Coturnix japonica: one gene and its partner. Each later gene encodes a partner of the first gene's protein in a complex. Links are inferred from orthologs where the notes say so. Each region holds a gene or a part of one and is shown on either strand. Other genes may lie near its edges. The genes, in order: FGFR2 and FGF8.

Region 1 (10,073 bases):
ATAAAAATAAAGCACTGAGTGATGAATGGCATTTGAACAGTAATTATCAGAGTCCTTGTAGTTCCAAAAGGCGGAGCAGCCAGGTAGGGATTTGTTGGCGCTGGAGGGGATCTGAATCCATTTCATATCAAATTTGGTACAGCTCCTTGGCTCTAAGCAAAGCAGAGCTTTTATGCAGAGCAACAGGCAGCTGTGGCTGCAGGCTTTGGGGAAAGGAAAATGAAATTCTTGGGTTCAGTGAATGGACTTTGTGCAAGCAGACTCAATTATAAGAGGGTATTTTATTATTATTTTAATGAAAGTTTTTGAAGTAAACTGTGTGTTTATTTGAAACAAAAATCAGTGTTAAAATCTTCATTTTGGACTTTCATTTTCATTCCTCTTTCCTTCTCCTCCAAATATACAGGGACGGCTTCCAGTAAAGTGGATGGCTCCAGAAGCTCTGTTTGACAGAGTTTACACGCACCAAAGCGATGTGTAAGTGACTTTATTTGTGTAGTCTGGAAGGGCAGGAGGGGAACCTGGTTCACGTTCCTTAAAGTTTGGCATATTTCAGAATGTATTTTCCTGCTATCCTTTCCCTTTAAGCGTTTTCATTTTGTTTCACATATTAATAGATGGAACAGGACTTGCCCTTAGAAAGTGAGGATTTTATGGTAGACTGCTAACCAGTGCTCTGTTACTAATCTGCCTGGCTTCAAAGCACATGAAAGGTGGAAAATGCTAACCTCCTTCTGTCAGTGCGGAAGTTTCCCCCCTTGAACTTATTTACGGATGTGCAGCTACAAAGAGTCTATCTAATTTGCTTGGCTTTCGATGTACTCTGCACTTCCTTCAGGTTAAAAAAAAAACAACACAAAATGAAGAGAGGGAAAAGAAAGAAGAAAAAAAAGAAAAAAGAATCTTGTGAAAATTTGTGCTGTGGTTGTGTACAGTAAAACATAGCCTGGATATACCAGAAGTGCTTTCCCAGATTTTAGAGATGCTGCATCCCAGCAGTGCTTCACATACAGAAGGAAATCATTGGATCTCTGGCACTTCAGGATCTTGTAATGTGCGTGGTGTAGCTGGCTGATGCAACAGCTCCCATAATTCTGCTTCCTATTAAAGTTCCTGGGCCCATCCTCAGTGCTCGCATGCATTGAGCTCAAAGTAAATGTGTATTTTTTACTCAGTGCAGATGAAGATCTTATGCTTTTTATTTGTCCAAGAGAAGCTGTTAGCCGTAAAAGGCTGGATGCTTCCCAGCACAGGTGTAAAAGCTTATGCATGACAGCACAGAGTTAAAATAGAAAGGAGCAGGGTAGAGAAAATAAGAGGTGCCTTCTCCTTTAACTTGGATGCTCTTCTCAAGTTGTTCTCTCCTTAAGAAAAGCATTTACCGAGGCCTTTCCTGCCATCTTTATGTTATTTATGAAGGAAGCTATATACACAGGTTAAGGGTGGAGCCAACTTTTGCTTTAAAATAACATCTTGACAAAATATTTAAGTGAATGTGAAGTAAACGGCTTGGCTGGTTTAGAGCTGGAAGTCATTGTGAGCTCTCAACAAGCGCAGAGCACGGGCATTTCGGTGTTGGAACTGGGAGACGTTTTGGCCCCACGGTGCCTTTGGATAATATTATTGTAAGTTTGTGCAAACAGTTTACTAAAATACACTGCTGCAAAGCTAGCAGAACTGCAGAGCAGCTCGGGGCCAGGGCAGGCTCTGCGCTGTTGCTTACCTGGCAGAGAAGCCTGGCAGTGGGCCCATGGCTGCCAGCGGGACGTGGCGAGGCAGCTCTGGAGGTGGGGAGCAGGCAGGAAAACTGGCTGAAGTTCTCCCTCCTTCGTTTTCTTACCAAACAAATAAACAAATAACTAAATGACTCTGTTTACAGCGGGAAGGCAATTTTCCTAATGCTGTTTTATCTTTCTTTTGCAGATGGTCGTTTGGTGTGCTAATGTGGGAGATCTTCACCTTGGGAGGGTCTCCCTACCCAGGAATCCCCGTGGAGGAACTTTTTAAGCTGCTTAAAGAAGGGCACCGAATGGATAAACCTGCCAACTGCACCAATGAACTGTAAGGACCAAGGGTTGCAGACTGCACTGAAATCATAGAATATCCCGACGTGGAAAGGAGCCATCACACGGTTAATGCTACCCCAGGAGAATGTAGCATTTTCAGAATTGTTGGCTCTGAAATAGTGAATGTGTGTGCATATAGATGTGTATAGAAACACTATGGAAAGGTCTCCAGGAAATGTTTGGTGGAGGACATTTTAAACACCCTGCTGTGATCCCTTTGAAAATGGATGAGCTCATCTATCAGCAAGTCTTTGTCAGTACTTTTAGACCCTTATTTACTCAGTTTGGGTTCATGAAATGTGAAAATTCATAAATGGCACACATAGCCATACCACACACAGACTCTTATCCTGTATAAGCTACAACCAGCTGGTTTTGTACACAAAAAAAGTGCATTTGGGAGCTTTAACATTAGCACAGCACTGTCTACCAGAGATAGTGGGAGAGTGCTTTCCTTTTCTAATACTTCAATATAGCTCTTGATAGCTTTTGCTTTTATCCCCCATTTTAATTTCTTCACTTCACAAAGGCTGCAGTCTGTTACATGATAAAAGATTTAAGCACATGTAATTTAATGCTGCTGAAATGCCACGGTAGAATGCAGACTCAGGTCCACAAAGAGGAAATTCAGATGCTAGGCAAGCATGGATAGAAATAGAGATGCATCTTTTGAGGGAAGTGACAGCATTGTATGGTTTGGGCAGAGGCAGTTGTCCATGTTTAAGACTATGGAGAGCTCGCTGCTTTACTTGTGGTGAAGAATACTGGCTGTGTATGAAAAGGCTTATCAGAAGGATGTGTGATTTTAATTAACCCAAGAAAATGTGCATTTCTTGCAGCTATATGATGATGAGAGATTGCTGGCAGGCTGTACCTTCACAGCGACCAACTTTTAAACAGTTGGTAGAAGACTTGGATCGGATCCTTACTCTCACAACTAATGAGGTACGTAGATTGTTTCCCTCCATAAGCTACTAATCAGGATGAGTGGAATTTATGCAGTTATGAAATCCTGTTCTCTTCTTGCTCTGTTTGTCACCATGCTCTGTAGTTAGAAGCAGCTAAACTATGTATCCTATGAAATCCTCAGTTTCTTGTCATTATGTCTTGGTTTATGTAACAGGACAAACACATCTTTAAAATGTTTTTGTTAATTTCTCTTTGTATTTTTTATGTTTTTAGCATAGTGTTGTTGAGGAAATACACGTGGCAGACTGAGCGGCAATGTTTATATTTCAGCATGAGTTTCGTGTGGAGGAGTGGAGGAGAGTTCATGACGTTTTTCATTTATTAGCTCAGTTTGATTCCCAGCCATGATATCTAGGTCAGAAGAGGAGAAATTGTCAATAGTAGATTTCAGATTGTGTCTGAGAGTGAATTAGGTTCACTAAAGTAGCTCTCGGTGGAGGGAACAAGGGCCCGCAGGGAGCATGTGAACAGCCATCCAATTATCCAAAGGTCCTGCCTAACACTGCTTCAGGTTGGGCTGTATGAATGCAAAAGGGTTTCATCTGAACAGCACTCTTTCAGAGGTCTGAAATATGATTAGTTCTAGCAAGAAACACACTGATTAGCGTATCCACACAGGAATCGGTTCTCTTACTGCTATATCGCAGGCACCTTAGAGGAAGATCACGAGTAATGGAAATATTGATTGTTTTGGTGGGAACTTTGAGAGAAAACGTACCTCAAAAACATGTTACAAATTCCTGTCATTTGGGGCAAGTTATGCAGATGGGGGCTGAGGGGGATGAGAACACTTCAACAGTTCTTCAGTATATTTTATTATAGCACTTCTATATACTAGGGGGTGGGGGAGGAATGTAGAAAAAAGGTTTGCATCATGTTATGTGTGTCACCATTACTTTCTAATTTTTCAGAGTTCTCAGATTTATTTATTTTTTAAAAGATATTCATAGTCTATTCATATGCATATAGGAAAGCCTATACTGCATAAAGATGGTGGGAGACCTTGAATAAGATGCTGTTTTTTATGAACATCATTTATCTAGTAGAGTAAGTCTACACTTCTGGCTGAGAAGATTCTTTGGCTACAGCAGCAGCTATAAATTTATCTGGATTATTTTTCTCCAAAACGTGGCGTTTTCAGGAATGGTTTGGGAATGGGGCAGGAATATGTGCTCCTGACTAAGCCAGCGGCGTAGCTATGTGTACCCTTACAGTTTCTCCCCCATCCAACACTAACTGAATCCCTTCCTGCATCATTTACACACCATACAAGAGCAGTTGGCAGTGGGCTGGCTGCCATCACAGTGTGCTTGGTGGCTTGGAATGCATTTGCAAAGTCGAGAGGGAAGTTCTGGGCTGTAATTCTAAGCCTGGAAGAGGATATTTCTTCCTCTTCTTGTGTGTTTAAGCATCTTGTCTTCCAGTTGTGTAGCGCTTATGGGGCCTGGAAGGATCTCAAAGGTAACCTGAAAAGGCCTTTAGGGTGATGTAAATGACTTTAGGCTCAATTTGTTGGGGAAAAGGTCTGGAAAAAGCTCAGCAACACATCCAGTCCACCTGAGCGGCCTGCAGCAGGATCCAGTGTACATTTATCATGTCTGACGTGTTTGTGTAACTTTGTCTTTGAATGTCTCCACTGCTGCATTTCTGCATTGCCCCACAACAGCCCACTGCTCTGTTTCAATAGTTCTACCTCTTGAAGGCTTTTCCTAATATCTAAGCCTTCATCTTATGACACTGCTTTTGCCCTGGATTAAGAAAGCAAGTTACTTCTCTTGTCTATGAGCTCCAGTGTGTCCCATCTTCTGCCACTGCATGTGGTTTCGAGACCTCTGATTTCAAGTAAGCTGTGCAGTTTAGCTGAAGCACAGCCACTCCATGCCTCAATCTGACCATACTTTTACTCATCCACTCCACCATGGTACCTTGTCTTTCCCACATATGCCATTGTTGATACAGGGTCAACCTGGCTTGCCCAGCAGCTCCAAAATTAGTTTGCCAATAATATGTTCTGCATGTGTGTAAGTGATTATTTTGCCCAAGCCTCATTGAAATCCCAGTGCTGGGGACTTTTTACTGTGGCTATTTATGTTGAACAAGCTGGCTGGAGAGGAGATGGGGATCCCCACCTTCAGTTCTGAGCTCATACTGAATTATACCAAGCCTTTTGATATGACAAGCTGCGTCTGCAGTCCCACAAGAAAGCTTCAAATGCTGGAAGACTTTCTTCTGACTTTCTAGAAAGTGCTCAGTCATTTCTGGTTACACAGGGTTGCATTGCTGCATTGCTTACACGTAAATACATGCCAAGCTTGTCCTTGTGGATCTTTTGAACATCATTGATCCAAACTGCTTTCCCTTGTTGCCTATTACATTTGTTGGCATTTTAAAGCTTACATTTTCCTCCATCTTAAAACAGTGACCATTTTTTAAGCAATAACATGGTCACATTTCTGACTTAAGGGAAAAAAATATCAACGAAAGAATGAAATTACTCCAACCCAAAGCACAGCAGCATAAAGCACCGACTGAGGTGGAGGACTCGTCTCGTCAGTACGATCATAACTTGTGGTTTAGCAAATGAAGAGATTGCATTTAAATGAATGCAGCTGCCTTTAGAAGTTGAAAGAGAAGGAACATTTCAAGGGGGAAAATAACTTTCTTCTCCTGCCAAAACTGTTGTTTCTAACAAAAGAGCCTTAACCCAAAACTTGGATTCAGCAGATATTATTTCCTTTTTTAATGACTGCTTTGGTCATGGCTACTCTCTGGGGCACGCAGGCGTGCACACAGACACACAGAGAAGAAAATGGAGTATAAAGAACCCAATTGAGTGAATTTAATTTTCTTTCAGGTTTTTTTTTTTTTTTTTTTTTTTTTTTTGCACTTATGTCTGCCACTGCATGTTTAAACGCAAAGTTAATATCACGGAATATAAAACAGACATTTAAATTGACCAAAGGAATACAAAGTTGGAAGTATCTTTCCCTCTCCAAATCATTACCACGTGCTGGAGAAAAATGGTTCTATTTAGGATGAAATTTCATTTTTATCATTGTAAGTGAAAAGTCTTCTTTTGATGTGGTTGGCATGTTTATTTCCACTGACGCGGCTAATGTGGATGCCGTTGGACTTGACAAAAGTACTGTGTTATTGGCTTGGCTTTCTTTCTTTATTCAGGCTCCTTGTTTTATGAGATATTTGAGCTACAGGCAGTTTAGAATGCAATTGCATTAGGGAAATGAGTGTTGGTTTTAAACTGCTCTTTTACCCACTGTGTGATCGAGCCAAATCAGAGCAGTTGGAACACACTACTGCCAGTTTTACTCGCTGGTTAAAATCTCAATTGATTTCTTTTGTCACAGGAGTATCTGGACCTCAGCGGACCTCTGGAGCAGTATTCACCTAGTTACCCCGACACCAGGAGTTCGTGTTCTTCAGGTGATGACTCTGTTTTTTCTCCTGATCCAATGCCTTACGAACCTTGTCTTCCCAAGTACCAACACATGAATGGAAGCGTTAAAACATGAAAAGAAGCAAGAACACCAAGCTACCTACCACATACAAAACAACATCTTTTCTCCGGGACCCTAAAATTCTGCCTGTACATATGAAATATGGGAGGAAAAAAGAAAGGAAAAAAGAAAACTTGGAGGAAAGCAGTCAGATCCTACATTAAAGATCTCATAATGTGCAACTTGTATTAAATGTTCCCAAGGAAGAAGAATGTTTATGAGCTGTTTCTAGATACCCATCGCTATTGGTTTTCTGTCTTACCCTAAGCTGCAACAGACTTTGTTTGTACAATGGACCAGTTGGACTTGAGGCAAACTCTGGGTCTGCCTTTCTTGTTTATTTTGTAATATTTGGAGAAAATATATGTTGGCACACACTTACAGAGCACAAATGCAGTATATAGGTGCTGGATGTATGTAAATATATTCAAAATATGTATAAATATATATTATATATATTTACAATGAATTATTTTTTGTATTGATTTTAAAAATGGATGTCCCAATCCACCTAGCAGATTAGTCTCTTTTTTAACAGCTATTTGCTAAATGCTGTTCTTACACAGAATTTCTTAATTTTCACCATCCAAGGGTGGAAAATACTTTGCTTTCAGGGAAAATGGTATATCATTAATTTATTAACTAATTGGTAATGTACAAAACAATTAATCGTTTATAGGGTTGTTGTGTTTTTGTAATTTAAATGGCATTTCTATGCAGGCAGCACAGAGAACTAGTAGGTATATTGCTCAGACTTTACTAGTTTTCAGATCTTTTAAAAGAAAAGAAATATTTACAGTATATAACTAATTTGGGGGAATTAAACTTGTGATTTATTTGTGTTTAAAAACTGCAGTGTCAGATGATGATTCTTATCGAAACCAAATCCTTTAACAAGAATGTCTTTTATTCTCAATACTTGTCACTTTAACAACTTAACTCTTTAGGCGGTGTTTCCCATGGTGAAAATCCAATCATTCCACCAAGAAAGAGAGAAAGAGAGAAAACAATTAGAATGGGTTCCTAAAGTAAGGCAAGTCATTAACTTGTCTATAACCATAGCAGGACGTACAGCTCTAAAAGGAGCTGAGCTTCTACCCTGGGTTGCACATGCAACAGATTAAATAGATTTCTCTTCACTGGGTTGGGTAATAGGTTCCAGATCTTTTGGCCTGGATCTTTTGCCTTTTAGACTATCCCTCTATTGTAGCTTGAAGTTTAAAAAGAGAGAGGTTGTTTATAATGACCGTTTGCCATAGGAATATCAGCATCTTTTTAAAGGATTAATTCATGCTGACTCCAGTATTTCCTTCTGATTCATTCCATAACAGTAGGTATAGCACTGGCCTCTGCTAAAATATCACTGTTGTTTGTATCTTTGTACGGAAGTCTTGTGTTTGTACTTTCAGATCCCTCACACTGATATGGCCATGCGATATGAATGCAAATTACACTGTTTTATGTGTGTTGTTGTTGTTGGTTTTTTTTAATTGGGTAAAAGAAGTATTAAAATCTGTTAACTTTTGTACTGACAATAAAATGTTTCTACAGATATTAATGTTAAAATTACAAAATAAATGTCATGCAGCTTATTTTTCCTAATCCTTTGTGTCATACAAAATGGTTTCCTGAACATTGAGTGATGGAACGCATCCAGAAGCGCTTCCTTCTGCCCTTATCAAAGAAGGGCATTTCATATCACATCCCCAAAGCAGTTCCTTCAGGAATGGTATTTAAACAAACAAAAAAATACTAACTGATGGAAAGAAAACAGACCTTGTAGAAAGAATATATATATATGTATGCATATATATATGTGTATATGTATATATTCCTTTTATCTTGCAAACAAGTAAAAGGGAGATTGAGTAAAGTAGCTCATGCTGCTTGAGTGAAGGGAACGTTCTGCTCACATTACTCTTGCCGCTCACTCAGAGAAGGGTCTTTTCCACATACTACAGAAGCCTGTCAAGGTTGACCAGTGTAATGGAAAGGAGTCATTTAATAATGTAAAACTGTGTATTTAATATGTTTTCATTTTAGGTTGTTGGGGTTTTTGGTGGGCCTTTTCTGTGTTCGTATTTGTTTTAACTCACAAAGATAAAGATTTGGACCTTGGAGATGGACCACAGCTTTACAAACTGGCTGAAGCATATTGCACCATTCTCCTTATTCCAGTTTTACAGTGTGACCCCTGGATTAAGGTTTTGTTATTTTCTGATATCTGAAGATTTTCTCCTCTGAGTGCACTGTTTATATAGAGTACAACACAGAAGCCTTCAGTTAATGATGGAGAAGTAGAAAACTGAATATGGAGTTGCAAGAGGAGATTGGAGAGCAGGAAATAAAGCCCAGAATTTGTCCAAAGTGGGGATGTTCTTTATTGAAGCAGCACCTTGGGCTCTTTCAATGAGAAGGAGGGGTTAGGAGTTTGGATTGCTGTCTCATGTAAAAATAAAATCGCCACTGATAAAATAGGAGCAATAATGAAGAGTAGCCCTACGTCAGAAAACGGATTTATACTGATGTGGGGAATGAGATTTATGCTCTGTGTTTAATCACTGTTTCCTGCAGCATCTAATTGTCTTGTCTCACATTGAAGTATTGATTCAAATCAACTCTGTAGTGTGTGAGAAAATACGGATGTAGAAGCCCAGGTTAATGTGGCTGAAATACGTGAATAAGTTACTGCATATTTTGTTTCTCACAACTTGATTGTAATGCAGCAAGCAGTGTGTGGGCTTTATACAGCAGGTGAGAAGGCAACGTTTGTCATTTTATCTGTTGATTTGATGTCGCTTGATATCTGTTCAATTGAAGTGTTGAACTGCGTCGTGCATTTCAAAGATGCTTTGTTGTCCGAGGATGAGCAGGTTTACTGTTTTGTTACAGGAATAACATGAGCAAAACTGTATAAAGTACTTTCCATGTCTGTTGAAAGGATATCCAGAAAAGAGCACCGGATTAAGGATGAGAGCCGTCAGTTGTATCAGGGAATAGAAAGAAAGAAATGATTGACAGTGAGAGCAACATGACATTGGGATAAGCTGCCTGGAGAAGTGTTGGAGTCTGTCTCACTGTAGATAGTGAAGACTTGGCTTGGCAGGGTTTGGGTATCCTCATCTGAGGCCCTACTTCAACACGAGGTTGGCCAAGATGATCTCCAGGGTCCCTTCCAGCTGACAATTTCTATGATCCTGCACTACTGGCCAAAGGAAAGCTGTACTGGCTCATGTTAAATTTGTCAGTAGGATGTATTGAGTAAATTCAGTTCAGTGATGCATTTAACGAGAGAGATTCCTCTCTATTAAGACATTTGGATTTTAAGAACCAGGTCCTGGCTTGCCTGTAATTATTATGGCTGCCAAAGACTTTCTGACTTGGAATAATTATGCAGCAAAAAACACTGTTTTGTCAAAAAAACAAACAAACCCTCTCAAGCACGAGTGCTTTGCAGAGATGAAGTATTTCGACCTTATCAGAGTGGCATGACCCTATCAGAGTTATCTTGTCAGAAGGAAAT
Region 2 (10,595 bases), about 7.7 Mb from region 1:
TTCATACCTGGGGAATGGCTTGGGGGGAGTAAGGGGGCATGTACCAGTGTGTGTGCCAGCCAGGGAGCCCGTGGGAGCCACACCTGGTGCTTCCCAGCACGTGTGCTCAGTGCTGGTTCCCCAGAGCCCTCTCCTGGTCAGTGACCCGCCTGTCTGTGTCCCAGTGCACAGGGATGATGCTTCCTTCGAGGAGTTTGATGATGATGACATGTCTGAGGAGGAGATGGCGCCCATCGTGCCTGCCAAGAAGGAGAGAAGGAAGCAGTGACTCGTATCCCAGCAAGGTGAGGCGCTGGGTGACGGTGGGTGCTGCCCTGCCGTGCAGCGCTGGTGCTGAGTGGGAGCCTTTTCCAGGGTGCTGGTCTCAATCTGCTTCTCCTTCCAGGTACTCGCTGGGATGTCTCCACAGACAGCTGTTACCTCAGACACCTCCCGTCACAACCTCAACTTTTGCTGTGTTTTTGGAATTTCCTGTTGTACCTCCTGGGGGTGGTGGGCAGGGGCTGCTCCCAGCACTGGGACGTCTCCTTTCCCACATCCATGGGAGGTGATCCCATCTCCCCATACCCTCGCTGGGGGTCAGGGATGGCGGTCCTCACCCTGTGCCTTTTTGCTGCCCTGGACCTCTGCTGTGTGCACAGCCCCCCTGGCTCTGCAGTGCCTCGTGTATCTCTTCCCCAGCAGCAGCGGGAAGCAGCATCCTCCCTTGCAGGGTGGTGCTGTGGGAGCTGACTTCTGCTGTGATTTGAGGGAGGTTCCGGGTCGCTCCGCTTTGTAGGACGGTTTTTACACACTGAATAAAGGTGGGGGTTTGGTGCGGAGGCTGCCAGGTTCCTCCCGTGCTCGGCGGTGTCGCTGATCCCTGCAGGGAAACCGAGGCGTGTTGGGGACGTGTGACATCGTACGGGGCCCAGGAGGCCGGGGGGGGACGGGGGAGGGCTCCGGGTCGCTCCTCGGGGGCCGCTAGGTGGCAGGCAGGCAGCGCGGCGACCGTGCCTTAAAGAGGGGATGGGGTCCGGGCAGCCCTGGACCGGAGGAGTGGGAGGGTAGAACGGGGTGAATGGAGCCCAGCAATGCACGGCCAGAGCGTGCGGGACCTCGTAGGTGTCCTCGGGTGTTTGGAGCCTTGGTCTTGCTCGCTCGCTGGGGCAGATAAGAGCCTGTAGATCATTTTTAACAAGCTCTCCTGCCAGGCTGGGCTGGGGGAGCAGCTGGTGCGGGGTGAGGAGAGAGTGGTACCGGGAGGGAGAGGTTATGCAGGCTGACGTCAGATGGCATTTGGGATCTTATCGGATAGAAGGAGGATGCCGAGGTGCTGGTTGTCTGAGGGGCGCTGGGACAAGGGGCTGTGGCAGGAGGGGTAGTTCTGTGAGAAGGAATGACCCAGAGGGGCTGGGGCAGCTGGCACTGCCAGGCGCTCTCAGTGCCTTGGAAAGGTTTGCTCCCCCTGCCCAGCAATGTCTCAGCCTGGATGCGCTCGGGAGAGAGGGAGATAAATGCTGGGATGGCAGGGGGCTGGGAGGGGGGCTGTTAATGGGGAAGGATGGAATTACAGGGGTCACGCTAGGTGAGCAGCTTCCTTTGCCGAGCTGATTGTATCGGAGCAGGTGCCACCGGCCACAAATACCTTGGGCAAACAAACAGGGCTGAAGGAGAGCGGGTGAGCTCAGGTACAACTGTGCTGGGGTGCGTGGGAAGGGGAGCGTGGGATCAGGGGGGTGGCTCTGAGCATCCCTCCTCCCTGGGGCTGTGTTCTGGGGTGCTGTGCGATACATCCCAGGGGGTGGATCCCTCCCTGCTATAACATCCCCGGGACACTGACCCAGGGCAGCCCATGCGAGGCACAGCTGTGGCCGTGCTGTAGGTGGGGCTGGTTCCCTGCTCCATCAGTGCTCCGCTTCTCACTTTGCTTTTCTCCTCGGGTACCGGTGGCTGAATGGATGCCCAGCACAACCAGGGCTGTGGGGCGCAGCTGGGGTAGTGCCTGGTGATGATGGAGCACAGATCGTGCTGTGAGACAGACCCAAAGCCATACGCACCCAGGGCAGGTGTTAGAAGTGAACATGGTTGGGTGGTGTAGGACAGCTGCAGTCCGTGCCCACTGCTGCACAGCAAGAATTTCCATCTGCTCAGCACAGCTCTGCCACGCTGTCCCCTCCTGCATCCCTAGGCAGCGATGGCAGCTTTGCACCCAACAGCCACAGCTGAGATACCCTGGGGTCACAGGTGCTCTGCCCTCTGACCCTTCTAATCGCTGCAGGCTGGGATGGCTCTGGTGCTGGCAGAGCTGTCACCGCTGGCCACAACTCCCTGCCAGGGCTGGTGGCAGCAGGGCTGAGCCCAGTGGGATTTAGGGGTGTCCGGACCTGCTGTTCTTCTGTTCTTAGGGGAGATGGGCAGGATTTGGTGCCTGTGGTGGGAACTGGAGGGATGAGCTCGGGTAAGTCCACGGGGCTGGTCCAAAGAGCAGCAGGTGCGATGGGGAGTGTGCCCACCTTGCCCCTCCTCTGGGCTTGGCTCTCGCTTGTCCCCATGCTTGGGGCTGGTTCCCCAGGATGAGGTTGGGATGAGCAGCATCTCCACCGGGCTGTGGTGTCCAAGGGGCCATAACCCTGATGTTTTGCAAACTCCTGGGGTCAGCAGTTCAGCTGCCACTGACACAGGGGCCTGGAGACACACACACGGGCATTTTGGGTGGATGCTATAAGCAAACAAATGGAGGTAGTGTTACAGCCAGCCGACAGCCCCCTGGCCACCACTGTTGGTTTTAGGCTTAGCCCCCCCACAGGGCTGGGTGCAGGAATCCTTTTCCCAGGAGGACCCAAACCGAAGTCAGATGTGCTGCAGGGCAAGAGGAAGGTGCTGGGTGGGCTGTGCCAGATAGCAGCACGCTGGGAGCAGGTCTTGGGGCTGCTGTCTGATCTGTGCTGGGAGCAGGGATGGGGTAGAGCTGCTCAAGCACCACATGTGCTTATTCTCATCTGCATGTCTCCATTTTCCCATGTCCAAGGCCCACCGTACCTCTGCTCGGGCTGATGTGTACAGAGAAGATGGACACCAAAATGCCCAACCTCATGTTTAAATCACTCAGGGCTGGGGCTGGGACCTTTACCAGTTCTCCCTCCTTGGAGGTGTGTGTGGCCTGGGAGTCCTCCTTCTCATTGCTGCCCCCTTTCCCCCATAGCTCGTGGGCACTCTCTGGTCTTTACCCATGTCCCTGGCTCACCTCCAGTCCCTCCCTCTGTGTCTACCTAATGGGGCCACACCACTGTGGTTGGTCCTGTGCAGGGTGTATGCAGCCCCATGCTGCTGTTCTCCTGTCCCAACATTCCCACCACTCTCAGCCCTGGTGCCACTCACTGAACGGGGAGCAGTTGTACCCCCCTCCCTGTTCCTGGAGCTGTGGGTAGTGCAGACAAGTTCATTCCCACGCATGGTGGTGGGGTCTGGCCCTTGGGGGGATGCTGAGTTAATGGTGAGTGGTGGGATCGCCCCGGGCTGCTCAGCACCACTCAGCCATGGAGGAGAGCTGCTGCCTCCACAACGCCCCATTAATGCTGCGGGCAGGAATGGGGAGGGTGAGAGCAGGGGGAGTGGTGTCCCTTTGGCTCCGCTGGGGGGGGTCTCTGTGTGCCTGCTTGGAGATGTGTGGCCGAGCATCCAGACCTGCAGCCAGGAGCTCCTCTCACCCTCAGATGGGTGCTGAAGTGCCCCCTGCAGGTGCTGCTCTCCTCCATCAGCTGGGGTTGGTGCTGTGATCCCTGTACCAGCAGTGCTGGGGGGTTGTGGGGAACTGCAGCCACAGCTTCTCTGGCAGAAGGGGCCCCTCTGGGCTGACTTGCTCACTCTTCAGGGCTGTGGGTAGAGACGGTGCTGGAGCAGGGACACTGCTGAGCTGTGGAGGCTGTCAGGGATGTTGTGTGATGGAGCAAACAGAGGAGCAGGACGGCCCGTCTGCTGTCTGCTCCGTGGTTCAGCCCAGCTGGGGCAGCCCTGGTATCTCCTTCAACCACCAGCAGCCTGACCACAGGCTGCCTTCCTGGGCAATCTCCATTAGCCATGGCAAGGCAAGAGGGTGATCTGGGGGATAAAATCCTGACCTGAGTATCCCCAGCTCTATGGAAAAGGAGAGCAGAGCTCACATCTCTGTGGGTGTTTGATGCTTCACTCACAGCATTCAGTACTGAGACCCGATGGGGCCGTGCTGGCTGCCTGCCCCAGGAGTGACCGCTGTGGCAGCAGGAACACCGCAGATCCGTGGCTCCTTGCTGGGACGGGATTTCTCCCCCCGCCCTATGGCAGCTCAGCCCAGTGCCTCAGGCTGAGCTTTCTCTGCCCAGCAGGAGAGCCAGACGTGAGCCCAGTGCTCAGCTCCCCGCCCCGTGGCATTGCTCACCTGCACAAAGTTGGGGAAGGACGGGGCAGCAGCAGGAGCCTGTTTGTCATTGTGTCGGTGACGTGCGGCCGCCCGTGGGTGATCCCCGTGTCACAGCCGTGCTGCCACTCGAGCCTGTTTGTTGAGGGCAGGGGGCACGTGGAGCTGTCAGCCCCCGGCTGCCTCCCACCCCCCAGCACAGCATCAGTTGGACACGGTGCAGTTGTGCGCTCTGTGCACTGCATGGTGCTGCATGGCCTGACCCTGCGCCCACGGAGGGGTGAGCACGAGTGGCATCTGGGAGAGAGGTGCTGCATCCAGACCCCTTTCCTTGCAATGTATAAGAAAGGAAGGATTGCTCCACTGCAGGGTGGTGGGAGCACCTTGTGCTGCCTGCTCTGGTGCTCAGCTTGTGGGCACGGAGCTGCCTTGCACCCTGGGTTGGTGCAGGGGGCTGAGCACCCCCAGAGCCCGCCCTGCAGCCCCCTGGGTGAAAGCGGGCCCAGCCTGGGGCTTCTCCAGCCATTCAGGAAAGCCCTTCAGAAACATCCTCCGGTCTTTTGCACAGAGAAGAAGGGGGCAGCAAGGTGTGGTGGCCGCTCCCAGCGCCTGGTGGTGGGTGAGCCTCGGGGGGTGATGGTGGGCAGCGTTTGGGGGCAAAGCATTGGAGGGTGCCCGAGCAAGGGGGGAATGAGCAAGCTGCGGTGTGCGGGCAGGGCAGGGAGGGCTGTGCGGGGCTGCAGGGTGCGTGTGTGCGTGTGTGTGTGTGTGTGTGTGTGTGTATGTGTGTGTGTGCGTGTGTGTGTGTGTGTGTGTGTGTGTGTGTGTGTGTGTGTGTATGTGTGTGTGTGTGTATGTGTGTGTGTGTGTGTGCGTGTGCCGGTGCGGGAGGGCCGCGCAGGAGCGCTGTGTGTGCGCTGTCACTCAGAGGCCGGCTGACAGGAGCTGCCTTTCCAGCGGCGGCAGATAGCGCTGATTGCTGATTCGAGGAAACAAAATAGCAATTGTAATTATGGGCTCTGATAAGATAAAGGAGGGCGCGGGGAGCGCGGGGACCGGCAGCGGGGCACGGCCGGCAAATTAGCGGCTGTCACTCAGCGCGGAGCAGGCGGCCCCGGCCAGGTACCGGCCCCGGGGTCCCGCCCGTCAGCCGCAGCCCCGCCGCAGCCCCCGCCCCGGTGCGCAACAGGTGGCGGGGCCGGGAGCAACGGGGCTCGCCGAACAATGCAGCCCTCGGCGGCCCTACCCGGGCTGCGGGGCTGAGCCCCGACCCGCCGCGGCCCCATGGCCCCGCGCAGCCGGTGCTGACGGACGGCCGCCCCTCCAGGTAAGAGCCCGGCGGGGACGTCCGGGGAAGGGAAGGGAAGAGGGGGGGGTCCCGCCGCCCAGTACCCCCGGCTGCGCTGTTTGCTCAGCCTCTCGAAACTCCTGCCCACCCCTCCGCCCCGGTAATCCTTTTAATGTCTGGCACGTCCAGCGAGAGGGCTCGGCCCCAATCCACAACGCGGACCCGTAAGCCACGTTTTACAGATGGGGAAACTGAGGCACGGCGCGGGGACGGCATCCCTCCGCCGGCCGAGCCCGTAGTGCCGCCACCCCCGAGCGGCCGCTGCCGGAGGTTCCCTTGCTCCGCCGGGGCCGCCCCCCGGGCTCTCCGCCCCCGCCGCCTCCCGGGCCGGCAGCGGAGCGGAGCGGGGCGGGGGGCTCCCCGCGGCGGGGGGCTGCCGGCCGCGCTCCCCCGGGGGCTGGGCGGGCGGGCCGGCGGGGGCCTTTCCCCTTCTGTAGCCGCTTGTGCCCTCCTTTCCTCGGGGCGAGGCAGGGCGAGAGGAGTCGAGGAGCCGAGCAGAGCCGCGCCCCCACCCCACCGCCGGGCTCCGGGCTGCCGGCCCCGCAGCGCTCCGCTATGGACCCCTGCTCTTCGCTCTTCAGCTACGTGTGAGTACCGCAGCCCTCCCTCCGCCTGCCCCCAGCCCTCCCTCCTTTCCTCCCCGCAGCCCCCCGGCTCACATCTCTCTCCCGTTTTCTGTCCACCCCCCCCTCCAGGTTCATGCACTTGTTCGTCCTCTGCCTGCAAGCCCAGGTAAGCTCCCGCTCCGCCGCCGGCTTTGTTCGCCCCTCGGGGCTGGGGGTCGGGACGGGGGGTTGGCTTAAAGTCCCTCAGACGACGCGAGCCCCGCTGGAAAGAGCCGGGAGCGGGCGGCTGCGCACCGGCTGCGGGATGGGGTGCGGGGGTGGGAGGACCCCTCGCCCACCCTGGTTGCAGGGGCTTCGGCCGTTCGGTCCTCCCGTTCTTCTTCAAATCGCACTACGGATCGGCCCTTCCTCTCGTGTGGGGGTGTTTTTTCATCTGAAAAGTAAAGTAGAATCGAGATAAAAGCGTCGGGGTGGAGGAAGAAAAAAGGGGAGAATAAAGGAAAAGGTGGGGGGGAGGAGAGGAAGAAAAGAGAAAAGGGAAGGAAAAGGGGAAGGAGGGAAAGAAAGTCCATTTCCTTACTAAAAAGCGTAGATTTCAGTCCAGCTGAACGTTGCTGCTGCTGGTTGGCATCGCCGGGGCCAGGAGTGTCAGCAGGAGATGGGGCTGCGGCTGTGTGTGCAAAGCGGGGTGAAACCCCCTCCCCCGAGGCCACAGGTGCAGAAGCGTTTTGAAAACGCTCCTTAAGCCGCTTTTTATTATTATTATTGTTATGATTATTTCATTGGAAGCTCAGGAGGAAAAAAAAAAAAAAATGGAGTTTCCAGCCCCAAAGCAAAAAGGAGTGTGCGGTTGTATAAAACATAGCTGTAATATTTTGGAGGACGAGACGGAGCGGCACGGCTAATGACCTCTCCTCCACATGGTACCCTCATCAGGGCCGGGAGAGTCCGTGCGTTATCCGCAGGCGGCTGAAGGAAAGGCGCGGAGGCAGAGGGGTGGCACTGGAGAGGGGAAATGTCGGTGTAGGGGCGGCTGCGGGAGAGCGGCGGCTCCGGCTTTTATTGGGGTCTGCTGGTGGTGGGGAATCTTCCCGTTTGACGTGGGGGTAGCGGGGGGGTCCCGGCCTGCTGGTGTTGAAAGGATCGACCCGCTAACATTTGCTCAGAATACGTCTTTATAAATGTCAGTGAGCAGCGAAACTTTCCGGACTTAAAAGAGGGGATGGAGACGAGAAGGGAAAGGAGCCCTGTGCTGGGGATGGGGGAAGCGGATCGGGCTGAATTGCTTGTGTCTGGGGAGCAGAGGGTCTGGAGGAGTTGGGTCGGCTGCTGCTATGGGGCCGGGGGTCAGCACTGGGATGGGGATGGCACCGGGATGGGGGTGAAGGTGAAGGATGGCTCACACGTCGGTAACGGTACTCCTTGGGGTTTGTGTTATAGATACCCCGTGAGGGGAGTGGAGTCTTGATGGCTCATAGCTCTACCTCATCTGTGGGTTTGGGGCATGAAGAGCAGGGTGTTTTGGGGAAAGGGGGTCCTGGAAGCTGCATACCCCATCTCAGGTACCTCCATATGAGCTGGGACCCACTGAGTCCTAGTGGACACTGGGAGTCCCTGAGCTCCTTCATGTCCCCAAGACACCCACACTCATCTGGGGGATCCCGGTCCCCAAAGGGCTCAGCTCCCCCCCGTCCCACTGACTCTGCTCCTCCTCTGCAGGCGCTGGTGATCCTTGCTCAGCCCGTTCTCCCCTCTGAGGAGTAGAGATTATAATGGTGTGTCGTATATTTTTTAATTTCCTAAAGGTAACTGTTCAGTCCCCACCTAATTTTACACAGCATGTGAGGGAGCAGAGCCTGGTGACAGATCAGCTCAGCCGGCGGCTCGTGCGCACCTACCAGCTGTACAGCCGGACCAGCGGGAAGCACGTGCAGATCTTGGACAACAAGAAAATCAATGCGATGGCAGAGGACGGGGATGTGCACGGTAAGGAAGGACGCGGCCGGGGGGGCTAAGGGGGGGGCTGGGAGGTGTCCTCAGTGCTGTGTGCCGATTGATGGTTTCCGTCCTGTTGGTTGAGCAGAAATCATTAGGATCGTTTGGAGTGTGTGGGGGTTTGTGAAGGGAGAACAGCGGGGTCAGCGCTCAGTGGGTCTGGGTGCTTGTGGGGTGGGTGCTGCTCAGTGCTGCTGTGCACCTGACTTGCAAGGCTCAGTTTGGCACAGGCAGCACTGAGCGTCTCTGATTCTTCCTTTGGAGGAGAAACAGAGGGCAAAGTTGGAAAAGAAAAGAAGTGAGGGGGGTTGAAATTGTAGGTGAAGTGCTGTTCTGGAGTCCTGCCCTGAGTTAGAGACATCCGAAGCGGTGTTTCCCCCACGTACCCCCTGTGCTTCCCCTTTCTGAGCAAGGAGTGTGGGCTCAGTGAGGTGCTGACTGCAGGTGAGGAGGAGACAAAGCTGGGGGGCTCAGCAACTGTGTGCAGCCCTCCTGCTGCTGTGCTGCTCTTGGCACCATGTGTCCCCCCAGGCCATGGTTCTCTGGGGAGGAAAGCAGTGCCACGCTGCAGCCACCCAAAGCCAGGGCACCTTCACCATGTGTGCTGGTGTCACACCAGGAACAGTGGTGTCAACTCCATCCGCGCTGAGTGGGGCACTGCACCCCATTCCCTTGTGGGCAGGAGGTGCCCATGTCAGCGTGTGCCGTATGGAGCCATCCCAAGTGTTGTTCTTTGGCATTAGCTGCAATTTCCCTTTCTTGTTGAGGGAGATTAGTAGGAGCACTTTGCTTCCTTCCCCGACTGGTTTGGTGTTGGGTTTTTATTCCCCTTTTTCCTTTGGCTGCCAATGTTGCACCAAACTTCAGCTGTGCGTGGAATCCCATGTGCTGCATTAGCAGGGAGCCACTCCGGGATGGAAGGGGTGTCAGCCAACTTCCCAAGCAAAAGGGCCGAACAACCCCCAAAGCCTCCTCTGGCTTTAGCCCTGTAACGCCTGCGTTTTCAAGGCAGCTCCACACCTCCAGGAGCGGCCAGGTTTAAATAAGGCCAAAAGGAGGGGACACGCGGCGGCGGCTCGAAAAACTCTATTAAAACGTAATAAAAGAGGTGAAGCATCTGAGGAGCGGGGCAGGAAAACGAGGGCTGATCTAAAGCAGAAAGAGAACAAGCAGTTTTTCAGATGTAAAGTTTTAGGAGTTGCAAGTCTGTAAATGTTAAAATAGAGGTTCGGGATTGTTCTATATGAATCTCCAGGGAGGCCCCCATGTCTGGAAGAGCTATTAAATCGCTTCTTACTTTCACCTTTTTTAACATTTCCTGAATACTTTCTCCTCTTCGCAGTCCAGTTGGGGGATCAAGTGTGTCTCGCTGCATTTTTTCAGCATTTACGTAGCCGCTTTCCCTTCAAAGTTTGAGTATGAAACATAACTTTTCTGGGATAAATCTGTCACTTCAGTGAAAGAGCAGAGTTGAAAATGTTAAGCTCCCTCTGTCCCTTAAACAGGGAGAAAAAGGGTCTCCCCGAAACCTTTGTCAGAAGAAAGCCCCCTTCGTTAGCAAAGGCCCTTCCTTCTGCTGCACTGGTTTCTTTTCCCATCTGATTTTTGGGGCGGGAGGAAGGCGCTGATTTATTTTTGCGGGTGACCCCTCTCCCCACGCTGACGTTTTTACAGCCGACTTCACATGGAGCCCGGCGCTCTCCGTTATCTGTCTTAATTGTCAATATCTGATGGACTCCTTCTTGGCCCCGGCAGCGCTGCCGGCTCCTCTCATGGTGCAGTCGATCCATTCACCCTCTGTGGTCCCTTCGCTCGGGGCTGTCCCCATCTTGCAGGGTGATGGCTGTGACTCTGGGGCCAGAGGGGAGAACCACGCATCCATGCCTGCCTTCCTCCTCCCTCCCTCCCTGCTTTTCCTATCTCTGGGAGAGAGCAGGGAAAAATCAATTCTCCTCAAAGCTTGGACTGCCTCCCAGATCAATCCTTCCCCCATACTGGTGAATGGGGATCCCTGGCTCAGTGCTCTGGGAATGCTGAGCCCCTACAAGGGGCTTGTGTGGGGTGAGAGTGGCCAGATTTCCCTGGGCTGGGGCTGCAGGATGGTGCAGGGGGTGCTGGAGGTGAGGAGCTGTGGGGGGCAGTGGGAGAAGTCCCCACGCTTGATGCAGGATCAAGACATCATGGAGACAGGCAGTGATTTATTTGTGGTCCTGAAGCACTGCTCAGGCTGGGTTTAGTTAGCACGCGGCCTGGGTCTGCCATCCAGCAGCATTGCTTCAAAGCCACTGCAGGGCTGGGGGCTGTTGGTGAA

Evidence for each region.
Region 2: the proteins of FGFR2 (region 1) and FGF8 are in contact, whole or in part, in a crystal structure (PDB 2FDB), measured with the Homo sapiens proteins. The link is inferred for Coturnix japonica from reciprocal best matches to the Homo sapiens genes FGFR2 and FGF8. Residues at the interface, in NP_000132.3 of Homo sapiens: Glu160, Lys161, Glu163, Lys164, Leu166, His167, Ala168, Val169, Pro170, Asn173, Asp247, Val249, Arg251, Ser252, Ser282, Asp283, Ala284, Gln285, Pro286, His287, Ile288, Gln289, Ile291, His293, Leu309, Val311, Leu312, Lys313, Ala314, Ala315; in NP_149354.1 of Homo sapiens: His53, Val54, Gln57, Asp62, Leu64, Ser65, Arg66, Leu68, Ile69, Arg70, Tyr72, Tyr75, Arg77, Gly80, His82, Val106, Glu107, Thr108, Thr110, Phe111, Gly112, Ser113, Val115, Thr148, Glu149, Ile150, Val151, Leu152, Glu153, Asn154.

Annotation. Positions count from the first base shown.
Region 1 is NC_029521.1:27,518,671-27,528,743, reverse strand, and holds the end of FGFR2 (fibroblast growth factor receptor 2), read left to right. Parts: intron 1-406; coding exon 407-477; intron 478-1,923; coding exon 1,924-2,061; intron 2,062-2,905; coding exon 2,906-3,011; intron 3,012-6,400; coding exon 6,401-6,565; 3' UTR 6,566-8,152; downstream 8,153-10,073. UniProt on the Homo sapiens protein: Tyrosine-protein kinase that acts as a cell-surface receptor for fibroblast growth factors and plays an essential role in the regulation of cell proliferation, differentiation, migration and apoptosis, and in the regulation of embryonic development.
Region 2 is NC_029521.1:19,850,058-19,860,652, forward strand, and holds the start of FGF8 (fibroblast growth factor 8), read left to right. Parts: upstream 1-5,239; 5' UTR 5,240-5,702; intron 5,703-6,194; 5' UTR 6,195-6,278; coding exon 6,279-6,310; intron 6,311-6,418; coding exon 6,419-6,455; intron 6,456-8,094; coding exon 8,095-8,275; intron 8,276-10,595. Other genes in the region: NPM3 (nucleoplasmin-3), read left to right, coding at 165-268. UniProt on the Homo sapiens protein: Plays an important role in the regulation of embryonic development, cell proliferation, cell differentiation and cell migration. Required for normal brain, eye, ear and limb development during embryogenesis.